Linked DNA regions of Arabidopsis thaliana. The protein of the gene in region 3 interacts with the protein of the main gene of each other region in a pairwise test. Each region holds a gene or a part of one and is shown on either strand. Other genes may lie near its edges.

The links. The genes of interacting proteins can lie anywhere in the genome.
Region 1: the proteins of GDU2 (region 3) and PHT4;3 interact in a protein complementation assay, tested with the Arabidopsis thaliana proteins (one large-scale study listed by BioGRID).
Region 2: the proteins of GDU2 (region 3) and ECA1 interact in a protein complementation assay, tested with the Arabidopsis thaliana proteins (one large-scale study listed by BioGRID).

What each region holds. Positions count from the first base shown.
Region 1 is NC_003074.8:17,306,097-17,311,739, reverse strand, and holds PHT4;3 (phosphate transporter 4;3), read left to right. Parts: upstream 1-1,671; 5' UTR 1,672-1,696; coding exon 1,697-2,302; exon of another isoform or gene 2,303-2,414; coding exon 2,415-2,641; intron 2,642-2,729; exon of another isoform or gene 2,730-2,749; coding exon 2,750-3,113; intron 3,114-3,277; coding exon 3,278-3,322; intron 3,323-3,407; coding exon 3,408-3,554; intron 3,555-3,716; coding exon 3,717-3,854; intron 3,855-3,930; coding exon 3,931-3,964; intron 3,965-4,144; coding exon 4,145-4,324; intron 4,325-4,438; coding exon of another isoform or gene 4,439-4,441; coding exon 4,442-4,446; 3' UTR 4,447-5,141; downstream 5,142-5,643. Other genes in the region: PHS2 (alpha-glucan phosphorylase 2), read left to right, coding at 5,629-5,643. UniProt on the Arabidopsis thaliana protein: Inorganic phosphate and probable anion transporter.
Region 2 is NC_003070.9:2,414,450-2,421,331, reverse strand, and holds ECA1 (ER-type Ca2+-ATPase 1), read right to left. Parts: upstream 5,155-6,882; 5' UTR 5,010-5,154; intron 4,722-5,009; 5' UTR 4,652-4,721; coding exon 3,239-4,651; intron 3,118-3,238; coding exon 3,051-3,117; intron 2,959-3,050; coding exon 2,837-2,958; intron 2,686-2,836; coding exon 2,404-2,685; intron 2,323-2,403; coding exon 1,945-2,322; intron 1,866-1,944; coding exon 1,756-1,865; intron 1,656-1,755; coding exon 1,427-1,655; intron 1,345-1,426; coding exon 760-1,344; 3' UTR 503-759; downstream 1-502. Other genes in the region: AT1G07795 (forkhead box protein G1), read right to left, coding at 6,538-6,882.
Region 3 is NC_003075.7:13,114,234-13,117,505, reverse strand, and holds GDU2 (glutamine dumper 2), read right to left. Parts: upstream 1,479-3,272; 5' UTR 1,358-1,478; coding exon 968-1,357; 3' UTR 551-967; downstream 1-550. UniProt on the Arabidopsis thaliana protein: Probable subunit of an amino acid transporter involved in the regulation of the amino acid metabolism. Stimulates amino acid export by activating nonselective amino acid facilitators.

The DNA of each region.
Region 1 (5,643 bases), on a different chromosome or scaffold from region 3:
TCTTGTATTAATTTTTATAAATAGTACAATTTTAAGTTTTCTTCACAAAAGTAATATTCAAAATTATTTTGGACATAAATAATACCTAAACAATTATTTTATTTTAAATTATTAAAATTAAAAAATTATAAAATACACAAATTCATCGCCAAATATTTCCGACAATATTTTTTCGAAAAAAAAATTTTTGTCCACAAAATATTTGAGTGCTATTGTTGTCATTTTTCCTTTATTTTTCTAGGTCACATCATTCTTTTGGGTATTTTTGTCAAAGATCTAATGTAAATTATCCATAACACTCTATAGTTAGTAAAAAAGTTCGTAAAAAATATTATTTACAAAAATAATCTTATATGAATACTCAAAAATTATGGTTTAATTACAATTTACATGCGTATCATAATTTTAATATAATAACATCATATTGAAGCAAATATTCGTAGAATTTACTTAAGTTTTTTTATATGAAAAGTATAAGTACCGTATATCTAGCCATTTTTCGTTAAAGAAAATGTGTTGTTTTTTGTTTTTGTATTGGATTGAATGGTAGCTATTATAATAGCGGTACAACTTTAACAGTTACCAATCACAATAACTTTATCAAAAGCGTTACAAAAAGTTTTACTCTCAGTTTTTTTATACAGATTTAGATTTATTATACAGCTTATTTTAACAGCTTTGCATTATTCCGATAAAACTAATAGCTAAAAAACTCGTACAACTTATAGTTACCAATCACATCCATTACCTTTTCTTACTTAATTATCGTAACAATAGAAAATGTGTTAATTTTGTATAACTGTCAATCAACAAATAAGTTAACACTTAACATAGCCCACCGTCAATATTTGGCCGTTTCTATGTGTCAACTCTTTGGATTCCATTCTAAATAGATAGGTCAAAGTCAACTTTTTCTATTTCATTGATTGAATATGTTTATCAGCAAATGAAATCTTGGTTTAATAATTGGATGATTTTGTTTTAATAATTCGTGTATGATATGCATAATTTGAATAATTGCGAATTTTAAAAGGAATCTATGGAGAATACGACTACAGTTAAAGTGACCAACACGAGTAACATAGAGATTCGGATCTACGACAAGTTCCCAAGAGAAGAAACTGTGTTCTTCAAAAAACATTAGTAAGTCCCGAAGCCAAGACAGTGTTTATTATATTTACTGTTTACCATTTTATACTTTTCTCTTTTTGTCGATATATACAGATTTACTGTGATTATTTTCATTTTCTGATAAAGATTGGAATCTTCCACGTGTTTACCCCAGATACAGTGACTGACAATTATTTTATTTTATTTTTTCCAAGGCATAATGAGAGTAAGATATTAGAAAAGATAAGGAATGCTCCTAAGAATTTCTGTTCAAACAACAAAGATTTTTTGGATAAATATGCACTAATACTTGTATATTTGGCACAACAACACGGTATTAAAGTCTAAACATTTTTATTTAATTATTTATGACATCTAAATTTTGAAAAAAAAAAGTTGTTTTACATATAATATTGGCTTTATTTCCAATTTAGCTCCTAACTTTCTATTTTCTCTCACAAAAGAGAAACCAAACAAGGTTTTGATTAATTTGTTTAGCTAAAAATAAATAAACTGCATTATACACTTCAAATCGTGCTAATTAGGAAGCCCAAATCATATGGAGGACGAGCCACTTTTACCACTTATGGGCCTGTTATTAGTGGCCCAAGACGAGACGGATGTCGGATCATGCGATTTGGCTGTTGCAATCCATAGACACCACCGAGCGAGCATCTTCTTCTTCTTCTTCGCTAACCGGAGTAATCGTAAGCAGCTTCGACTGGTGAAAATGTGTTACTCTCTCTCTATACAATCTTCAATTGACTTCCATAATCGAAACGCTCTAAAAATCCATGGAGATCGAGCAATTTTGACTTCGAACTTACCTACACTCAGGAGGATTCCGTTTTTGCCGGAGCGAGATCGCCGGAGAAAGTTGGTCCTCTGTACCGGGAGAGTCGTAAACTCATTGAAATTCACCGGAAACACTTCCGTCGATCTATGTGGTATTCCTCGTCATCGATTAAGAGTTTCTTGCAGCGATGCTCGCCGTACACCGGAAGAAACGGCGGCGGAGTTGACGGCGCAACCCAATTTTTCAGAATTTATAACGTCGGAGAGAGTCAAAGTGGTTGCGATGCTCGCGCTTGCTTTGGCGCTATGCAATGCGGATCGTGTTGTGATGTCCGTTGCGATTGTTCCTCTTTCGCTTTCTCGTGGATGGAGCAAATCATTTTCCGGTATCGTTCAGGTTATTCTTTCTCATTGATCGTTTGGGGAATTTTAGTATTAAGTCGTTCTACTGTATATCATTAATCATTGTTCTCGTTCGTCTCATAGTTTCTTGAATGTTTCTTTGGTAGTCATCGTTTCTATGGGGATACTTAATTTCTCCAATTGCTGGTGGAACTTTGGTGGACCGTTATGGTGGTAAAGTAGTCATGGCGTGGGGTGTGGCTTTGTGGTCGTTGGCAACTTTTCTTACCCCTTGGGCGGCTGATAGTTCTTTGTGGGCTCTTCTTGCTGCAAGAGCGATGGTTGGGGTTGCTGAAGGAGTGGCTCTTCCTTGTATGAACAACATGGTTGCGAGGTAGTGATGCTTTGTATTTTATTACTGCTTCAAATGTGATAAAGAGACACACACATGATCTGGTTACTGAAGTTTATTGGGTTCTTAGTGATAGTACTTTTGATGTAGATGGTTTCCCCCAACAGAACGTTCTAGGGCGGTTGGTATTGCAATGGCAGGGTTTCAGCTTGGGAATGTTGTAGGACTCATGTTGTCTCCTATTCTTATGTCTCAAGGAGGTATATATGGCCCATTTGTAATTTTTGGACTATCGGGGTTCCTTTGGTTGCTCGTGTGGCTCTCTGCAACGTCAAGTGCACCAGATCGACATCCTCAGATTACAAAGTCTGAACTTGAGTATATAAAGCAAAAGAAGCAAATATCTACTATGGAGAACAAACGAATTAGCACAAGTGGAATACCTCCTTTTGGACGCCTTCTCTCCAAGATGCCGACTTGGGCTGTTATAGTTGCAAATTCCATGCATAGCTGGGTATGTATACAGATTCCTCTCAATACAACTCTTTCATTCTTGTTACTATGAGGATTTCTTGTGGAAGGGAAATTGTTAGTACCAACTACTGTGACTTACAGTTATGATCAGGTGTTATCCTATTTGTTGGAATTCTTTGAACTGACTTAATGACTTATTTCCAGGGTTTCTTTGTGATTCTTTCATGGATGCCCATATACTTCAATTCAGTAAGGCCCTAGTACCAACATGTTCTTAATATAATCTTGTTCGTTTTAGTTCTCTTAAGAAATTTATAAGAATATTGTACCGCAGGTATATCATGTGAACCTCAAACAAGCTGCTTGGTTTAGTGCCGTTCCATGGAGTATGATGGCTTTCACAGGATACATTGCTGGTTTTTGGTCGGATTTGTTGATACGGCGTGGTACAAGCATCACCTTAACGCGAAAAATCATGCAGGTGCGTGATGTGTCACAAGATTTCATTCAATCAAGAGCTCTCTCAGACTGAAGAGTTCTGTAAACATATCCGAAAGATGTTGAAGCCTGATGCAATGAAATCTGGTGCATTCAGCATTCTTTTTCTTTTGCTGACTGGGGGATTTCATTTCTTGTTTGGCAGTCCATTGGTTTCATTGGTCCTGGAATTGCTCTCATTGGTCTAACGACGGCAAAACAACCTTTAGTGGCATCAGCCTGGCTTAGTTTAGCCGTTGGGCTTAAATCATTCAGCCATTTGGGGTTTCTTATTAATCTTCAGGTACCCAAGCGTGTGATTCATACCTAACCCAATACAAATGATGAGTATCTTTAACATTTATTCCCACTTGTTTCAGGAAATTGCTCCCGAATATTCCGGTGTTCTACATGGTATGCTTTCTAATTCTCCTTTAATAGACATTGGTTTCCAGAGTTTCCTATTGTTTTATCAAACACATATAGCTAATTTGTACCATCTGAGAAGGAATAAGCCTTAGACTCAATCAAATTTTTGTTGGGAATCTGGAAACATTTTTCCAAAAATCTCTAACCGTTTCTGCGCTGTTTTAGGAATGTGTCTTACTGCTGGGACATTAGCTGCGATAGTTGGCACAGTTGGAGCTGGTTTCTTTGTAGAACTATTGGGCTCCTTCCAGGGATTCATCCTTCTTACAGCAATATTGTATCTCCTTTCTGCTCTCTTTTACAACATATACGCAACTGGAGAAAGAGTAGATTTTGACACAACAGGTCCGTCCCTTCTCTTTTCTTGGGTTATGTTGTTTGCTTTACCTGTTCAGTTTCATTCATTTTGAATCAATGTTTTGCATAATTCTAATGGTATATATATGCTGGTCTTCTTAGCAGCTTGAAGGTGACCACAAAGTCACTTAATAGGTGGATCAGCTAGTAAAGAAGTTGCAACTCTATATAGAATCAGCTTTTGCTCTCCAAGTAAATACCAGGAACAAGACCTCGGCTTTGTACAGAAACTAGAATTTCTTCGTCTCGATGGTTCTCTCCTTGATAAATAAATGAAAAAATGTAGCAAGTTATCTATGTTCAATGTCGTGAATCGCCTTAGAGAAGATAATGAAAACAATGTTGACGTAGTATTTGTTTGTTATACGGTTCAATGGTATAGAGACACGAAGACTTTCATCAAATATTGTAATAGTTTTAGACTGAAAAACAGATTAAGGGCGGGCACAGAAGCAGAGAAAAGTGAAGTTACAGGTGCAGATCCGTGATTTGGGACCTTGAGGTTCTCGCACTTCTCTACCTCGTGATTTGCATACACACGTGTTCGTGCACCTCAGTCCTGGTAATAATTTCCCACTCTAGTCCTCTCATTACCGTATTGATACGTAAGCGAGCCACTACGTTTGGCTTTTTACTCAAATTGGTTACCTTTTTAATTCCTTTCGTTGCCAAAAGTTCAATTAAATTCCTTACAAATTACTTATTTTCTTTTGATGAATGTCCACATTGCGGTTACCAATATTTATTTCTAATTAAATTCTTAGAAAATGATCAATGGTCCCAAAATACGAAAACAATGGTGTTCTTTTTACATTGAAAATAATATTAAGGGTGTTGCTAACTAAAAAACAAATAGATGTGGGGGCTGCTTGTTAGATATTTTCAACAAAAAATACAAAAATGTTCTTCGGAGCTTCCTCTGACACACAAAAACTTCACTTCACTCTCTCTTTTCTTGTGATCCTCACATTTTCAATCACTAAATCAAATCGCCAAAACAAAAACAGAAAATCAAATATAAAACAATGAAAATTACGTTTCTGTCATTCACCTTCTGAAAAATATCTTACGCTTCTTTTTTAGTATATACTGATTCTCCGTAGTATCTTCTCCCTTATTAAGCTCTGAAGTGTTGGCTCATCTCTTTCCAGATTCCGGCTTCGAAATTTGGTAATTGCTCCATAATCTTCGGCACTACCTTGGTGAAATTGTATTCGAGTTTCACTATGATTTTGATTTTATTCGTGTTTAAGCAATTTTTGAATACTGTGGTTGTTTTAGGGAGATAAGCGATGGCAAACGCCAAT
Region 2 (6,882 bases), on a different chromosome or scaffold from region 3:
TAGCTACTGCTTTTGTTTTCTATTGTGATGTCGTTGTTAGCCAATGCGGTGTAGTTGAAAATCTTTGCAAACTTAAAGCTAAGAAAATCTAATGAGGATGAACAATTTACTCGATATCTTGTCTCCTGGTTTTTTACCATTTTTAACTGTAATCCCAAAGCTTCTGGGAAGATTCATGTTGAATCGAGAAACAGAGCTACATTTCACCCTATCTTCATTGGTACTCGTAAGATCAGGATTCAATCAACTAAGCAATTAATGATAATTGATAAATTACAGTTGAATTCTGCTATGAGTTCGTTTTTTATAATCTATAGACTTGGAACTTTGGAAGCAGTCAATATTGCAGGAAGGGGAACTAAACAGAAAACAACTAGATTACTCTGTCTCACGTGAAGGAGAATGTATCTTTACTCTGATCTGAGTACACAAAATCAAATCACCCAACAATGAAGGCTTGGGTGAAACATTCATCAATATTTCATCCATGAATTATATTGATTTGGAAGCAGTCAATATTGCAGAAAGAGAGATCTATCTAGCACATAACTTAGGAAGCATAAAAATGAAGGGCTTTGTTGAAACATTCATCTATTTCAGGCTCTTTGTCCGTGAACCAAATGAGAAGCAAGTTAGAACATTTTTATCAAACCAAAAATTATCGTTTTAGAAAATTAAATAACCAACGCCGAGGTAAGTAACAACGCTAATTTCAGCTAAAACTAAGAGTCTAATAATATAATGCTTTTGATTTATTTCTTACTCCTCCTTTTGCTTCGTGGAAAGAGTGCGAGGTGAGTAGCGGTAGCCACTCGTACACCTTCCTACAAACTTGAGCACTTCGTCTATAAGAATCACTGGAAGCGAAACAGCCAGTACCAGCAGCCACTCGTTCAAGCTCAGTGGCACTATCCCAAATACCTGAGCCAGGAATGGCACGTACAGTATCACAAAGTGGAGCCCGAATGAGACAGCCATAGCCAGGAGTAACCACGGGTTCACCCACGGCGGCATCGTTACCAGGCTGCCGTCTTCTGAGAGTGCGTTCAGGGAGTTGAACATTTCAATGGCCACCAACACCGAGAGGGAGAGTGTGGACGCCTTGATTTTCCCCTGCTGGAAATAGTCGCAAGGGTTTGAGTCGAACGAGAAAGTCTGAGAGCCTGCTGTGAAAGGAGACACTTTGAAGCCTTCCCATGAAGAGCATTGGCCCCAATGTGCGAGCTGTGAATAGCTCACAAGGCTGTGACCGTCTTGGCTCAAGTCTATGCCCATGAAGCTACTGTGTGTGTACCATATGATGAATACTCCCACCGTTGCTACTCCCACGTACAGACCAATCACCTGTAGGTAGGTATCCATAATAGTCAGAAATGCCCCATACGATGAACAAGAGAGAGAGAGAGACAAATCGATTTTTGCATACCATATAGCGGAAGAGGATCCAGGCAGTGATAAGCGAGTCATCGCTCCTACGAGGAGGCTTTTTCATAATATCTTTGTCAGGGGGGTTGAACCCCAAAGCAGTAGCTGGAGGACCGTCTGTTACGAGATTTACCCACAGAAGCTGAACCGGGATCATGCCTTCTGGGATTCCAAGAGCAGCTGTCAAAAATATCGATGCAACCTCGCCGATGTTGGAAGAGATCATGTACCTTTTATTCATCATAGTCATATATATAGGCTTAGTATGTATAACTCAAGCCATCAATACGAATAGGCATATATATATATATGTGATAGTAGAAGACTCACCTGATGAAGGCCTTCATGTTGTTATAGATGGACCTGCCTTCACCTACAGCTGCAACAATGGTGCTGAAATTATCATCTGCCAAAACCATGTCAGATGCCTCCTTTGCTACCTGCAAAATGCCCAGAGCTTTAGAAAGCTGATAGAGCTATCATCATCCGGAATTGAAGATGAGAGAAGAGAAACAGTACCTCTGTGCCGGAAATGCCCATAGCCACACCAATATCAGCCAACTTCAGAGCAGGAGCATCATTGACTCCGTCTCCAGTCATGGCAACCACTTCTCCATCTTCTTTCAGTAACCTGACAATCTCTTGTTTGTGTTTTGGTTCAGCCCTTGAGAACAGGAGCCCTCCAGTCTGTCGTAGATGATTCTTCTGATCTTGAACATCCATAAATTCTATTCCCGTCAAGCTTCTTGAGGAGATATCTTCATCTGCTTCAAATACGCCAATTTCACGGCAGATCGCTTCCGCTGTGCTCTTGTTGTCTCCAGTAATGACCATGACCCGAATACCTGCTGTTCTGCAATCTGCAATGGCTTGACGCACCTCTTTCCTTGGAGGATCCTTCAATCATTAAAAAGGTCGAGCATCAATATTTATTAATGAGGAACTAGAAAGAACCAAAACAATATCACAGTAACTCACCCTTAAACCAACAAATCCAACGAATATTAGATTGGACTCAATTGATGAATAATTGGATGGGTTGAGAAGTTGCTGGTGAGCAGGATGGTCTTCACTGCCATCATAAGTGGCAAAATCTGATGGAACATCTGAGTAAGCAAATCCGAGACATCTTAATGCACTCAAGGACATATCACGTAGGCTTTGTAAAATCAGATCCCTTGAGTATTGGTCAAGCTCTCGTTTTGAACCATCAAGTAGCTGAATATGTGTACTCCTTTCCAATACATTTTCTACCGCACCCTGCATAATTTCAAAATTGGTCTCTTAGGTGCTGAAAAAGAGGGGACAATGGTTTTATCGACTAATAACATGCAAGAACCAAAGCAGAAGCCACTTGATTTCCCACGTTCGACCCCAGGAGTCAGGATATGATCAATGATGACAAACAGACCTTGACCAGTAGCAGTTTGTTTCCTGAGCTGGAATCCACCATAACTCCCATTGATTTCCGGTCACGGTCAAACTCAAGGGTGGCAATCCGTTGTTCTAGTTCACTCCATAGCCGACAACAACCTTCAATAATGTTAAAAAAGGAAAAGTGCAGGAGGTTAGGCATCTGTAAAACTGCATAAACATAAGTAACAGATATAGTTCAGAATACATACGTAAGACATCGCCATCGGACGAAGCTTCATTCAATCCTTCGGGAAATCCCATTTTCTCAACCAAAACCTGTTCAAATAAACACACACACCAATAGAAAGAAACATCAACTAAGGACAACGAATAGAGTTTTCTTAGTCAATTTAGTTAAGAAGAGAAAGGTGCAAGCTAGTGTAGTAGACCGCTTTACCTTCAAAGCTGCCTCAGTAGGCATGCCCCTAGACACAAATTGCTGATCAGATTGCTCGACATTAGCATCGTTGCAAATGGCAGCAATTTTTGCAATCATCTGAAGATTTGCATCCATCCGACCCATTGGCCAATCTTCAATCTTTCCATCTCGAGGATCAAACGAGGTCCCCTCAACATTGAAAGATCGAAGAGTACCGATCCTCGAACCCATAGCAACGAGCTTAGAAACAGCCATCTGATTGGTTGTGAGAGTTCCAGTTTTGTCAGAGCATATCACGGTGGTGCATCCAAGAGTCTCCACACTGGGTAGCTTCCTAACCAGAGCATTCTTCTGAGCCATCTTCCGTGTGCCAAGAGCCAAACATGTGGTAATAACTGCTGGCAGACCTTCAGGAATTGCAGCAACCGCCAGTGCAACAGCAATCTCAAAGTAATATGTGCACTTCTCGAAGGAGAACTTAAAGTTTCTGGGCCAGCCATCAACATACTCCCATGACAGAAAGTATTTGACATTGATGAGCCACACTAACGCACAAATTAACCCAATGATCATAGTCAGAACTTCCCCAAACTCGTTAAGTTTTTTCTTCAGAGGGGTATCTTCCTCGTGTTGTGCAGCTTCCTGGATCTGTGAGTGAACCCTTCCAATCTCAGTATTCATCCCAGTATCTGTAACTAAACATATGCAGTTCCCATTCACGACAGTGGTTCCTGCAAACACCATGCATTTCTTTCCTTGAATATCAGCATTCTCATCCACGTGCTTGGTGGTTTTGCTCACTGCCTCACTCTCTCCTGTTAAGGACCCCTGCTCGACTCTCAAAGTTGAACTGATCAAAGCAACCACACGCATATCAGCAGGTACCTTATCACCAACCCTCAGTTCCACAATATCACCAGGAACAAGCTCCTTTGCAGGCAAACTGGAAACCTTAGTCCCATCACGCATGACAGTTGCTTGCTGAGACTGAATCTCTTTCAAAGCTTCCAACGCCTTCTCAGCATTAGTTTCTTGCCAGATGCCAACAATGGCATTAACAATTAAGATGAGAAAAATAACAAGCGGCTCAACAAATGCAGTGATACCCATCTCACCACCTTCGTCGCCATCAAAGAAGGCCAAGACAAAGGAAATAACAGCAGCCGCCAAAAGAATACGAACCAATGTATCATTAAACTGCTCCAAAATCAGCTTAAAAATAGAAGTACCCTCAGGCTTCTCTAACTCATTCAAACCATAGATCTGATGCCGCTTCAACACCTCATCACTACTCAAACCTTTCTCACGACTAACAACGAAATGTTCTTCACATTCCGCGACATCTTTAGCCCAAGCAGGAAACGTATCCGAATTTACAGGTGTAGAATTTAAGCTTTCCTTCTTCACAAGGTCTTCTGATCCTTTCCCCATGAATTCTCACTCGTTGCAAAACAGATTCGTCAAATTCTCCCGGAAACTCGCCAAAGCTTACGGTTTTCGACTGCAAATTATTAAAAAATTAGATCCTCTGAATAGCTGAGAAATTAGAAAAACTTCACTCTAAGATACTCAATTATAAAACTGTAGCAACATAATCATCATCATCTCAAACAAATTACAAAGGAATAAGACTGGATCGACGAATCTATAGAGAGAATCTCAGTCCCAGACTAAAATTCAAAGATGAGCTTAAATTTAGATCTGAGACAAGAGAACGATTACATAGTAGGAGCAAATCGCAATCAAGGATACAATCAATGGAGTTGAAGATTGTGAAGTAGTAACATACCAAAGCAAATCCGGAGCTAGAGAGAAAGAAACTTCCCGCTGCAAGCAATCGCAGGGACGTTCTCTGACGTCTCTCTGATAACTCCTCTTATTAATTAAAAAAACCAGTGATTCAAAAAGATGCTGTTTAAGCCCAATGGGTCACTGTTTCAAGTATAAGTGCTACTACTCATTCTAATATTGATCGTCTTTGGGCCTATAAACTTTACGTTGACATATGTTGCAGACCAAATTATCATGATAGGTCACAAAACGTTTTGGTTAAAATGTTTATAAAGTAGGTTATTTTTTTTTTTGGTAAGTGACCGGGCGGCAAAGAGCCCCCCGTTTTTATTCAAACTTAAAACTAAAAATTACCGTTCTGGGATCTGTCTTGGGCAAACTATCCCAAGGTCATCCTCTCGCCAAAGTAACTCAACAACATTCGGAATAGAGTAAAAAAAGTGCAAACCAAAAGCTAAAGAAAAAGCATAGTTTGCTAATCTATCCGCAAGACGATTAGCCTCCCTATACACGTGAACAATTCGGACTATCCAGTCCTTCGATAAAAAGCCATGGCACAATCGTACCAGGAAAGACAACGGGTGATGATCACTTATCCCTGTCCTCAAGAACTCCACAACTATCGCAGAATCCACCTCCAACACTACCTGCGGTGCTTTCCTCTCCCATGCGAAATGGAGTCCGTAATAAACTCCCCATAATTCCGCCATTGGTGCCGAACATCTCCCTATATTCAAAGAAAAACCTCCGCACCACCTTCCCTCATGATCTCGTAATACTCCTCCTGCAGCAGCTAAACCCGGATTCCCACGCGAATCCCCATCCGTATTAACTGTCAACCAGCCAAGCAACGGTTTCTCCCACCCTACCAGAATCTCTACGCGCGAGCGTCGACCTCCCTGAGTGACCAACTGTTGATTAGCTGCTGAAACCTCCTTCGCCAAATCCCTCACAAAGCGTACCCTGTCCCGACACCTTCTATTCTCACCAAAAATATTACCGCACCTCCACTTCCACCCCCACCAAACTGCTAGTGCAAACATCGTGGACCAAGGCCCCTCTTCCACGTTAACCTGCTCACAGAGATTCTCAAAGAGCCACTCAAATAATGACTTCGTAAAGAACGCTTGTTGTTTCCTCCTAGGAACAATCCTGCTCCATATTCCCGACATCGAAGGGCAGTCTCTAAGAACATGCAAGATAGTCTCCACTCCCCCTTTGCAAACCTGACAAACCTCAGAATCACACAAATGTCTCCTGTATCTCTCGGCATTTGTCATGATCACTTGACTAATTACTAATTTGATGGTGATTTAAAACCGGACGATGGCAAAACGGAATGTCAAATTGTTTAGTTGTGATTTTGGGTCGTGGATAACATAACAGATCAAATTGTTGGGTTAACACTGACAAATGTCAACTATTCTACGACGCAGCTTAATATAATGTCGTGATTTGGAATAACAAAATGGTGGATGTTATGTAGTAACTGAATACAAGATTATTAATTAATTTACAAGTGTTTATTAAAAATCATCCACATTCTCCGTGCCAATACATGATCGGATCAAACAAGCCGAAGCAGTGACCATAACCGCCGCGAAAATCGAAGGCACAAACAAATCAAAACGCGATCTCTTCACCATATTAGACGGCACGCATATACTCTCCCCTGCAAAATCCATCGGAATCTTCACGAAACCATCTCCTCCTCCGCACGAAGACGACACCGTAGACACAAAAGCCATCTCCGGAGCAAACGAAGCGACGGCCACCGTGAACATTAGAAGCACCGTCCACGTGGCAGCCTGAGCGATGACCGGCCAACGGTCAGAGACACTCCGTAGAAACGGCTCCATTAGCGATGGAAG
Region 3 (3,272 bases):
CCACAATTATTGTTGGTTTTCCAGTTTTATTGGCATCATTTGCGAGCTCGTTTGTTTTGACACGTTCACATAATAAACATAGTAGGAATTGGACAAGAAAACGAAAGGACGTAAACACATGACACAACCAGTGACCAATTGCCCATACTAGAAAAACAATTATTCAGTTAGTTGCAGTAGTCTCCATCCATTATATGTGTCACTGTTCACATTGTACTGATCATCCAAAAGACGACAATTTATTGTCCAACGATAAACGATAATGCTTTCAATTTCAGTGAATGGTAAACAATGATAAATGGATATGCCTGGAAAAGAAAAAAAGAGAGAAATGTATAGTTGAGAGGCTATTTGTTCTTTGATAAAACTTGATGATATTTAGTAATATATCTAGAAATTTAGGAATAAAGGTACAAAGAGAATAATTCTCAACTTCGGTTCGCCACAACGAATTAGCTTAATATTCGGCATGCGTCATTGTTGGCACATCACTAGAAGTTTTCACAACACATCTCTTTCCCTCTTTCGTAAGCATCATGTCTGTACATCTCTCACTGGGAAAACATTTTTGTCTCTCTATACACGAAAACTGAATTAAGGACGCACGATTTTAGTTGTATCTTTTATTTATTTTGTCTGTCAAGCTTCAGTTCTATCTTTAATCGCTAGTCCAAAACAATCATCTATTCAAACTCTTAAAATTTACATGTACCGGATATTCCTTCATGAACCATAAACGGGAAAAATTTGAAGAAAACTGAGACAACCAAAAAAAAACTAAAACCATACGAAATAAATAAAACTCTAATTTATATCCCATCAGCTCACGTAAGGTTGGCGTAATTATGAACCGACACAAAAAGACCGGACGGATCGATTCCGGAGTACTCCGTAACGAATGCTCTGTTTTCAAAATATGAGGGAGGGCTCACCGTAACCTCCGGTGCTCTGCTATACCACCTGATCACTACCCTCTTCTTCCTTCTTCTTCGTTATGATCGCCGCAAGTACAGCTTTGCTCAGACCGAGTCGCTGGCGTAGCCAAGTAAGTAGGTCTGACATCACCGGCCATTATGACGAGAAACTTCTCCGGCATTTCTGTGTGCTTAGTTTTGTTGGTGTCATTGTCGGGTTTGGCATCATCTCCGGCCTCAAGATCTCTCTCAGCGGAGCCGGAGAGTCTCCAGTAGGAACATGCGAGGATGAGAAGAGCGACGCAGATGAGAGCCAACATGGCGGCCAAACCACCGAAGAGATAAGGAACCGGAGAGTGCCAAGGCGAGTGAGGCACCACCATGGAGGAGCTCGCGTTTATGCTGTCTTGGTAATTATATTGTCGTCCTTCCATTGTCTGCATGTGTGTTTTACTGTTTGGGAAGAGTGAATGAAATGAAAGTTTTCTTTGTTAAAAAAGTAATTAATTTATTGGTGGGAGATGAGATTGTGTTGTGAGAGGCGTTTTATAGAGGAACGTATGGGATGGATTGTTTCTTAATGCAATGGATTTGTGTATGGTTCAGTTTTCAGTATTTTTTTGGAATGTATGAAAAAAGTCAGTATTCATTATTTGTACTTTGTAGAGTGAGTATTAACGAAATTATTTTTTAGGGAATCATCTTCCATAATGGAGTAAACAATTGATTGGTTTTTGATATAGAGATGTAGTTTTTTTTTGCATTTATACTTACATGAATAATTTTTTAATCAACCTCAAAAATGATATTAGTTTAACGTGGTGGCTCAATGAAGACATTTGTAAAATCATGTATATTTCCTTCTTTTGGATGTTAATTTGAACTTGTATTAAGTTGGTTTTCTTATTTTTTTCATAATTGTTTTGTTTAATATATCCGTCTTTAGTACTTTAATAAAGTTTAAATTTTTATTGGTGGCTTTTAATTAATAGTATCTTTTAAATGCAATAATGGATAGAGGTTAATTAAAGTTAAGAATTATTTAATAATCTTGTTACGGCAATTTGCACATTAACCTAACTGTTGAACTAACTAACCTCTTTGTTTTGGCTAATCAGTTTTTATTACTTTGCTTAATTAGGTTAAACTCAAGATTTAATATCATTTAGGAGTTTCAACTCAAAACTATTTTCAATGCCATTTATACACTATATATGGAGTTCTTAACAATATGTATAAAACTGTAAGAACTATATACAGTAAAGGGTATTTAAAAAACTTCTGGTTAGATAAAGTAATAGAGCGAGTAGTGCAATTGGAGGGGTAGGTTCTCAGCGTCAGCTTCCACCATGACTAAAGGAAAAACGGATATTCCATTAGTTTCCAATCACTTTCACTTACGTTCTCCATTTCCACATTCTTCCTCTTCCATTTTCTTTAATTTCTTCATTCGTACTTTAAGATCATTGTTTAATGTGTCCACTAGTATTACAGTAAGCAATAATATATCATTACGTCAACTAAAAGGAATTTCTAAGGCAGAACCTTTTTTAAAGCATCCAAACCCCCAAACAATGTTATGTGCGGTTAATATGCCAACACAATCACTAGTCGCTTACATTAATCTTTGGAGATAAGTTTTACTTTTAAATCCCCTCACTGTGTATATATTAGTTTTAAATTATTATGTGTGTGGGCTGTATAATTTATTCCCTGATCCGACTTAAATTCCGGATTTGATTTGTGTTTGTGCATGAATCATAGGGAATCATATTCTCGTTAAATAGGCACGTTACATGTGAAGATAATGTATAAAATAAATACATATACCTAGGAACCCATTATTTAGTTTCTCGAACAAACAGATTAAGTACGATAATTAAATATTGGAGTTCTATTCTTCTTCCTTTCCGGTAATTATTCTGCCAGACCAATTAGAATCGGTATGTTGATTGTTGAAAAGATTGATTGATGGGTGCTTCATTTTGTGCTTGGTTAACAATCAGAATACTTGCCCTCTTTACTTTTATTTCTTTTGAAATTTCCTAAGAAATCGTTTTCGGTGTTGAAAGAATTAACAAAGGTTCCAAATATCTCAACTTCTCAAGTCAGAGATTAGCTTTCATGTAGTTTTTCAAATTGTGTTTATTTCTTCATCTAATTACTTTTAAAGGTGGCTCGTTCAGTTTTTTTCAGAACTTATCTCCGTACATTCTAAAACTCATTTTTAGTTATCAAGATATTTTTCTTTCTCTTTAGATACGGATTAGTGAACTTGAGATAGGTATATCTAATTTAAATAGACAGCTTTATAGAGCTATGATGACACTTTTAAAAACTGATAGATATGCAACAAAT